Xenopus tropicalis: one gene and its partner. The protein of the gene in region 1 purifies or fractionates together with the protein of each later gene. This does not show direct contact. Links are inferred from orthologs where the notes say so. Each region holds a gene or a part of one and is shown in the gene's direction. Other genes may lie near its edges. The genes, in order: pfdn4 and pfdn1.

Region 1 (4,385 bases):
AGCACCACAAATGGATTTCTCGTAAAGTCTGGATTTCTTCATCCCTGGCAACAGAAAAAAATGACTGCTGTACAATGTTACATGTCTGATGTTCCAATACTGTGCATGATGAGCACAGAGGGGCAGGAAAGTTTAATATCAGGGAAAGTGATTCCAGAATGAAGTCAATAATATTGTTTTACTCTAAGCTATATTGTTATAATCAAGCAGAAAATATGATCAAGTATATGATCTAGGAATAATGTACCCCCCTAGTGTAAATGATAAGGATATTAGAAGTCACTGAGGGGTTCTGTGACCATATAAAGGTACAACACTGCAGGCTGAGTTATACAGGGAACTCTGAGTATCACTCATGTATTATAAGGGATAATGTACCCCCTACTGTAAATGATAAGGATATTAGAAGTCACTGAGGGGTTCTGTGCCCATATAAAGGCACAAGGCTGCAGGCTGAGTTATACAGGGAACTCTGAGTATCACTCATGTATTATAAGGGATAATGTACCCCCTACTGTAAATGATAAGGATATTAGCAGTCACTGAGGGGTTCTGTGACCATATAAAGGCACAAGGCTGCAGACTCAGGGTTTTTATGTGTTTTTATTAAAAACTTCACAAAAGAGAATTAACAGAACTCAGACCAACATGCCGGCCAATAATTACAAGTTACAACCAAAATTCACCCCCCCCCCCAGTCCACTGGCCAAATGTCCCGATGAAGATCGTGACATATGGAGGGGGCAATTGTCCTTATAGTACAGACATTAAACTTGATAAGATAAACCATATACAATGATGCTACACAATATTTTGCACGTTGGTTTTTGTAGTACAGGTATGGGATCCCTTATCCGGAAACCCGTTATCCAGAAAGCTCCGAATTACGGAAAGACCGTCGCCTATAGACTCCATTTCAATCAAATAATTCAGAATTTTAAAACTGATTTCCTTTTTCTCTGTAGTAATAAAACAGTACTTTGTAACTGATCCCAGCTAAGATATAAATAATCATTATTGGATGAAAAACAATCCCATAGGGTTTAATTAATGTTTTATTGATTCTTTAGTAGACTTAAGGCATGGAGATCCAAATTACAGAAAGACCCCTTATCCGGAATACCCTTGGTCCCGAGCATTCTGGATAACGGGTCCTATACCTGTACTATAACACCCGGAGAACAGTTCAATAACTGATACTAAGCACTTCGCCCAGTTTATCACGCCAGTCACTCAGGATCCCATCCTCTTGCACCATCTAGTGGCCATTTAGCGCGTCGCACACTTCCTGCTCTCGCTGTCAAGTTGGATTCTGCGTAAGTTGGACTGTACCATTGCGTAAAATGCAGATGACCGTATTACAATCGTTATGTGTTGTGATATTGCAAGCGCCACGAATTTAAGGCTTGATTGTGCGATCGTTCTCTGACCCGGTACTTCTTTTTCACTGGTTAGCTTTATTAAGTAAGAGCAGGTTGCGTTACGCTCCTCCCCCCGCCCGGTAGTTGGTTCTATCCCAAGATGGCGGCCACCATGAAGAAAGCGGTAATGCTGCATGTTGCGGCGGGCGTGGGGGAATTTGGGGGTGTTACAGGGAATATCGGTAACTGGGTGCGATACAAAGGTGGTGCTGGATGGGGGGAAATCGCCATGGGAGAATAGGGGGCATTAGGCAAATGATTGGGGTGTAATAGGATACATTCTGTAAAGAAATAATTAAGGGATGTGCTGCAGACTGTGCTGCTTTCTGTGTTGCCATGCCAAATGAGCTATTCACAGGGGGATTATTAGGGGTGAGGGGCCAGCCTTACACTGGGCATGTGTCAAACGGCCAACTCTCTTAGTCTGCAGTACAGATATAGCTCTGCCTGATTAGGCCACCCCTATAGGCTTCTTTAATGGTTTGATCCTTGGGCCAGTAATTATTATAAGGGCCTGTGTACTTCTGTTAGGCCATCATGTCTGTCAGGATTCTATTAAACCTTCCCAACAGCAGATCCTCAGTCACATATAGTTTGGGCCTTCATAGTCTGTCCAGTAAGTCACTGATACAACCCTGAGCGCTTGAGCTGTAATTGTAGTGTGTAGGTAGAATTGTACAGGTATAGGACCCATTATCCAGAATGCTCAGGACCAAGGGTATTCCGGATAAGGGGTCGTACATTGGATCTCCATACCTTAAGTCTACTAAAAATCAATTAAACATTAATTAAACCTAATGGGATTGTTTTGCCCCCAATAAGGATGAATTATATCTTAGTTGGGATCAAGTACAGGTACTGTTTTATTATTACAGAGAAAAGGGAATCATTTAACCATGAAATAAACCCAATAGGGCTGTTCTGCCCCCAATAAGGGGTAATTATATCTTAGTTGGGATCAAGTACAGGTACTGTTTTATTATTACAGAGAAAAGGGAATCATTTAACCATTAAATAAACCCAATAGGACTGTTCTGCCCCCAATAAGGGGTAATTATATCTTAGTTGGGATCAAGTACAGGTACTGTTTTATTATTACAGAGAAAAGGGAATCATTTAACCATTAAATAAACCCAATAGGGCTGTTCTGCCCCCAATAAGGGGTAATTATATCTTAGTTGGGATTAATTACAAGGTACTGTTTTATTATTACAGAGAAAAAGGAAATCAGTTTTAAAATTCTGAATTATTTGATGAAAATGGAGTCTATGGGAGACGGGCTTTCCGTAATCCGGGGCTTTCTGGATAATGGGTTTCCGGATAAGGGATCATCTCATACCTTTATTTCTATTTATTATTTTTATTTCCAGTTTAACTGCAGATATTTACTAGAGTTGCTGGTCAGTGCTTGGAGTTGTAGGACTAATCAGCTCTGTGAATAATAGGAGTAATGGTTTCAGGCCTAAGAGAATAGAAATGTGAGTATCATTTGCCAGGGGGAATGATTTAATTGCCTTGTTTTATTCATGTGGACCCTCTGTGTCCTGCCCCCTGGGGTTCTCTGCTGTGGGCATAAACAGGGCATGGGGGCTTTCATGCTGGCAGGTGTATTCATTATTAATAACAGGTATGATCATAGCTTATGTGACCCACCCACCACTAATACAGATTATATAGAAATGCTGGCTGAAATAGGAGTTAGAGAGCTTCCAGTCTAAAAGGGGAAGGGGGTGTGAGACAAATGATGTGGGAATGGCTCACATTGTTGGGGCTGGGATTATACAGCGAGTTACGGTTACAAGTATCCACAGTTATATAAAAATTGACAGGCCTACCTCCTTTGCTGCCCTGCTGATTGTGTTTTAATTCGTTTCTGCCACTGGTCAGAAAGACCCTGGTTATTAGATCTCAAGCACTGACCTGAGCTGGAAACCAATACCCAACTGGAAGGAACCCAAACTGGCAGCACTCAAAATCAGCATCATAAGTGGAATATTAATGAGACCAGGAACACGGCAATGCCATGCTTATTGCCAGCTCCCCTTACTGTCTCACTATACCTGCCCATTGGGTGTGTCTGTTCCTGTGCTTGGAAATTAAATTAACTCTACAGGGGTGCTGGCTGCGATGTGAATGATTGTATATTCCCCAAAGTTACCCCACTTTAGTAATCCTGTGGCTATGACTCAAAGGCCAGCAGTGCATTATGATTTGGTTCACATTATTATATATATTTAATTCTATAGAAGCTTGCCCTGTATTGAGAGACAGATCAGCATTTGTGAGGCCACAAAGACCTAGGCCCAGGGCGGCACAAAATAAAACAAAACAGTGGGTGGGTGCGCACACGTGCTTATGGGGGACAAGGCCTATCAAGTTGCCGGGGGGTGGTGTGGCCTCGGGTTGCCCAGTTTAGAATCTGGCCCTGGTGAGGCAGCAGTTCATATAGTTGCTCTAGTGACTGAGGTTTTGCCAGCATTGAGATCCTATCCTTAATTTCCATTGTGGGGAAAAAATAAAGGAAAAAAGTCAATTGATTGAGACAGTGACAAGCAGCAAAATAACCTGTAGCAATTTGCCTTTTTAATGATGTCCTGAGAGGTCAGCTGGTTACAGTAACATCAGTAATTTGCTCCCGCTAAATGAATATGATTAATATAATTTTCGTTAATGAGGAAAACTCCTTAATGAGGCAGAATCCTTTGCTCTCGTCACTTAAGTCATCGCTAATGCTAATTTTATAAATAAATGGAATAGTCTCTATGGCAGTTATCAATACACAGACTGTCAGTAGATCCTCACACTGATACATACAGAGAAAAAAAGGCCTTTGTGCGTAGGCACCAGAACCATAGGTTTCCTACAGTCCTGAGTAGCGCCTCCCCTGTCTGGAGGGTAATGACTTGTCCTGTTTGCGTTCCAGGTTGCGGAAGATGTAAACGTTACATTCGAGGACCAACAAAA
Region 2 (4,602 bases), on another chromosome or scaffold:
TATGCTCTTGTGCACATGCACACAAATTTTGAGGCCAGCGCACACAATTGTGGTACACACAAGGAATTTTGTGTAAAAACACATAATATTGTACTGAGCACACAAGTCTTTTAAAGGAGAACTAAACCCTAAAAATGAATATGGCTAGAAATGCCATATATTGTATAATAAAATGACTGCACTGGCTTAAAGTTTCAGCATTGCTATAGTAGTAATGACAAAAGTCTTTACAGTTGTCACAGGAGCTCCCCATCTTGGATTCTGTTAGAACTGTCCGGGACGGCGCACATGCTCAGTTGGCTCTGAGCAGCTAAGCTTAGGGATTGTTGCAAAATATCAAGCAGAAAATGAGTGTTGTCTTTCATATAAACTGATGCTACAGGGCTAATTATTCAATTTTGATGCAATTGCCCTGGTTTCAGATCTGTCATGTAATGTAAATGAATTACTAATCAGCCTTTCACTGTTACATTTATATTCTGTATATACAGTATATTGTGAGTGGGTCCCTAAGCTCAAGTAAGTGACTGCAACACAGAGCATGTGCAGGGAATCAGCAGAAAAGAAGATGGGGGGGGGGCTACTGGAGGGCATCTTTGGGGGCACAGATCTTCCCTGCAAAAGGGCTGTTTGTGCCTTGGGCTGGTACAGAAACCCATAACATAATTCACAAAATTTCAGCCCTACTTCTTTGTTAAAAAGTGTGCACAAAAGAAATTATTTGTGTACCCTGCCAAGAAGAAATTGGTTTAAGGGCACTGCTGTATGGGGCAGATTCTGCAGTTAACTTGCAGGCCGAGAATCTGCTGTGTGGCAGTGCCCTAAAAATCCCACTGGCATGTTGATGAGGCCTACATGGGTGCCAATTATGTTTATGGCCCTAGGGAAAAAGTGGCTGTTTAGTTCAAAACTAGACAGGTGTCAACCCCCAAGTGCACTGACAAGTGATTCCTGTGTTAGTCCATTCAGTGGTCATCTTTAGTGTTTTACCAGCTGCTAGGGCTGTCCAGTGCAGCCGTAAGCACCAGACTTCTGACCTCGCCCCCCTCGTATACAGCTACACTTTTTTTCTTTTTAATATAGGCACCCCTAGCGCTGCCCTACATAAATATGGCCCATGCACCCATGAGCTAAATCATGCACAGGGGATCTTGTCTGAGCAAGATCACCTTCAGGCTGGGCTTTTAGAACTATCTCCCAAAATAAGAAATATTTCTTTAACGTTGCCCCATTTTCAGCCATGATTTCAATTTATGGCGTTTGTAACTGCTTACAAAATACAGTCTAATTCAAGATTCCAGAAACATATGGGATAAACAGTCTAGAAACTCATAACAATCCTATTGGGTGCGAATCGAATTACAACCCTTCCCCATATATTTCTACATATAACTCCCCAGCCACTGTGTCACTGCCGGTTTAACACGTTGTGTGTAAATCACGCACACATATTTGTTTATATGTTACATCACACGTTACACCCTTGGTTCACTCTACACAAAACATAACTTCTGTGGCAAAACAAACTACTAGCAACCATGGCTCAAATATCTTTAAACAGTAAGAGCTCTCGCTGCTAAGCCACAACTCAACCAATCCTCCAGCAACTATACGCTGGGCGTTTCCCAAGAACGCCCACCAATGCGCCCAGCTTCACCTTAGCAGCTGCCAATTGGAATTGCCAGTAAAGCACCAAGAGCCAATCACAAGGCTGCTTGCGATGACGGCGGTATAGCGTATGGTTTCCTCGCCGCCGCGTTGCGCATGTGCCCGGCTTTAATATGGCTACCCCTGTGGATCTAGAGCTGAAGAAGGTAATAATAATTGTATTTCATTTATACTAATGATTTTTATCATGTACGTGTTTTCATGTAAGTGTATGTTTATATAAGAATTCAGATGCTGGTGAATTCACGGTGCCTGCAGGATGAATGTGCTTTTGGCTGGAGTGCGGCCAGGCAGCTAGTGCATACGCTCGGTGGAATGCGAATGTAGTCGTTTTTGTATTTCTAGTAGGGAACTGTATTTGTAGTAAAGAATTTTGATATCATTTGATTTGTGTGTGTGTATATATATATATATATATATATATATATATATATATATATATATATATATATATATATATATACATATATATACATATACATATACATATACATACACACACATACATACATACATACATACTCACACTCTATAAACCCATAGTTCTATAAACGAACACTTGTTTTTTTCCAAATACATAAAGAAGGGAAATTTAATAAAGTATATTTACTATTAATGTAAGATTCATCCTTTTGGAAGGCACTATCTCCCAGTGCATTGTTTATTTGCAATTAAAACAGTCTTTAGAACGCAAAAACATTGCTGTTAAATCTTTGCTTACACCTAAAATTTGGGGGCTTAAGTGTTTAGTAAGATTGGAGATAAATATCACTGGTGATGTTGCCCATAGCAACCAATCAGATATTTGATTTTCATTTCTAACTTGTAGGTGACTGTTCAAATCTAATTCCTGATTGGTTGCTATGGGCAACATAGCCAGTGATATTTATCTCCAATCTTACTAAACATGCCCCTGTGTCCTACATCTGTGGTTTGCTTGACAGACTTTTTCAGTTCAAGCCCACCTTGGAGCCCAGTTAGTTCATAACAAGGTGTATGGAAATGTTGTATCAGCTATTCAGGAAGGGCTCCCGGAATACCCATTTTCACACCAAATTTCTCTCTAACTGAGCTTCTCGCTGGGTTTTTAGAAAAATAGGCCCTCAAGTGGGCCATACAGGGGCCCATTCAGACCAAGTTGACAACATATCAGCCTGTTTATGAGTAATGTGAGACTGCTTGACTGACATTTGCAAAGGATGCACTTTTACAAGCAGAGTAGTTTAAAAACTGGATAGTTTCTAAAATATTAAAAATATTACCTGCTTACACAATCTTGGGTGAAACTCAGATGTAGAGATTGGCAGTGGCTAGAAAGCATTAGCGAGGACAGCACTTAGATACAAATTGTTTAAAACCATGTTTTGTATTGCAGGCTTTCACAGAGCTTCAAGCCAAAGTTATTGATACCCAGCAGAAAGTTAAACTTGCAGATCTACAAATTGAGCAGCTAAATAGAACAAAGAAGCATGCATATCTTACCAATGCAGAAATTATGAACCTGTCTGATTCAACGCCTATGTATGAAGGAGTAGGAAGAATGTAAGTAATGCTGTTTTGCTTTAATCATACAGTCATGCATTAACTTGTCTTTTTAAGTGTAAATTGTAAAGAAAAGTAGACCTTCGGCCCACTCTCCCCTTCTCTGTTCACTCAATTTCTTTAATCTCTTAATTACGCAGTTTTACATAATATTATCTATCCTTTCCTCCATTTCTTCAGTTTCTTTTCATATAGGATTGAGTAATGGCCATGGTATACGCATACAAGGCAAATGGTTGGGTGAGCAGGAGGGCCCACTGACACTTGGGCCACCGGGAGTTTTCCTTGTATCCTGGTGGGCCAGTCAGACACTGCACAGACCTACCGATCCCTTCGAGGGCCAAAAGACAGAAAAAATACAAGGGACCATATACTCTATGGATGCCTTTCTGTTGTTCCTTGTATTCATAGGGAATGAAGGGAACAGTTCCTCATCTTCCATACACAGGCTGTAATGGGTTCTTAGCAGGTTACATATTTATACCCACCCAAATGACAAACCAATCAAAGTACATGGATATAGGCTGCCACGCACATACTGAAAATCGTTAACTGTGTTCCTATGTAATCCCCATTTGACTGTGCCAATGACTGTATTTATAGACTGGCTATTGTTAAAAACCAAGAACTTTTTGGTTTTCTTACATAACCATTGCTGTGGAGAATAGAAAGTACTTATTCATAGGCGAATGATTCAATATTAACACATTTCTAAAGGTGGAAAGCATTAAAGGCCAAAAAAAATGCATTAGTATTTCAGATGCTTTAAATGTTCCGTATGCCTTTAGAACAGAAAGTCTACATTTAGGAGGGCGTTATAGTCACTAGTATAAGTGGAACTTTATAGTTTAGGTAATCCATTGATCTCAGGGAACATGCTTATCTGCAGCTGGGAAGTCCATATATATTAAAATTTAGTTGAATGCGCTTGAATGCACTTGTGCAATAGCCCTCTACAGAGGGTTCTGAACAGCAACTTCATTGGAATAGGCCATACATAGGCAGATTTAAGTCAAGCACCAGCCTAGGGCACAGAACTCTTTTGTTTGTCTGTTTCCCCTTACTTCGGGCCCCAGTTGACTGGGAGAACTGCCAGAAGTCAGAGAGAGCAGCCGCTATTTTGCACTCGCTCGGGGGGGGAGTGGGTGCAGTATAGCCGTCGCTTACTCTTCCAGTCAGTGTGCGCTCGTTACAGGAGGGGTGGGCACGGAGCAGTGCGAGCTGGGGGGGGGGGGGGGCAAAGTTCTAAATTCGCCTGTCATTGATTTAAGCTCCTCAGTCAGTCCCTTCAGACCGATTTGGCAGCTTATCTGCTTGTATATGGTGCCCTCATATGGGCCAACCTGACCGATATGTGGCAGAAAATCGGGAAGTTTTTGATCGGGCTAGGTT

What was found.
Region 2: the proteins of pfdn4 (region 1) and pfdn1 purify together in Homo sapiens (affinity purification with mass spectrometry; 5 studies listed by BioGRID and IntAct, counting the BioPlex papers as one, with this or other methods). This does not show direct contact. The link is inferred for Xenopus tropicalis from reciprocal best matches to the Homo sapiens genes PFDN4 and PFDN1.

Annotation. Positions count from the first base shown.
Region 1 is NC_030686.2:34,366,945-34,371,329, reverse strand, and holds the start of pfdn4 (prefoldin subunit 4), read left to right. Parts: upstream 1-1,529; 5' UTR 1,530-1,533; coding exon 1,534-1,545; intron 1,546-4,344; coding exon 4,345-4,385. UniProt on the Homo sapiens protein: Binds specifically to cytosolic chaperonin (c-CPN) and transfers target proteins to it. Binds to nascent polypeptide chain and promotes folding in an environment in which there are many competing pathways for nonnative proteins.
Region 2 is NC_030679.2:31,787,815-31,792,416, forward strand, and holds the start of pfdn1 (prefoldin subunit 1), read left to right. Parts: upstream 1-1,684; 5' UTR 1,685-1,781; coding exon 1,782-1,814; intron 1,815-3,043; coding exon 3,044-3,210; intron 3,211-4,602. UniProt on the Homo sapiens protein: Binds specifically to cytosolic chaperonin (c-CPN) and transfers target proteins to it. Binds to nascent polypeptide chain and promotes folding in an environment in which there are many competing pathways for nonnative proteins.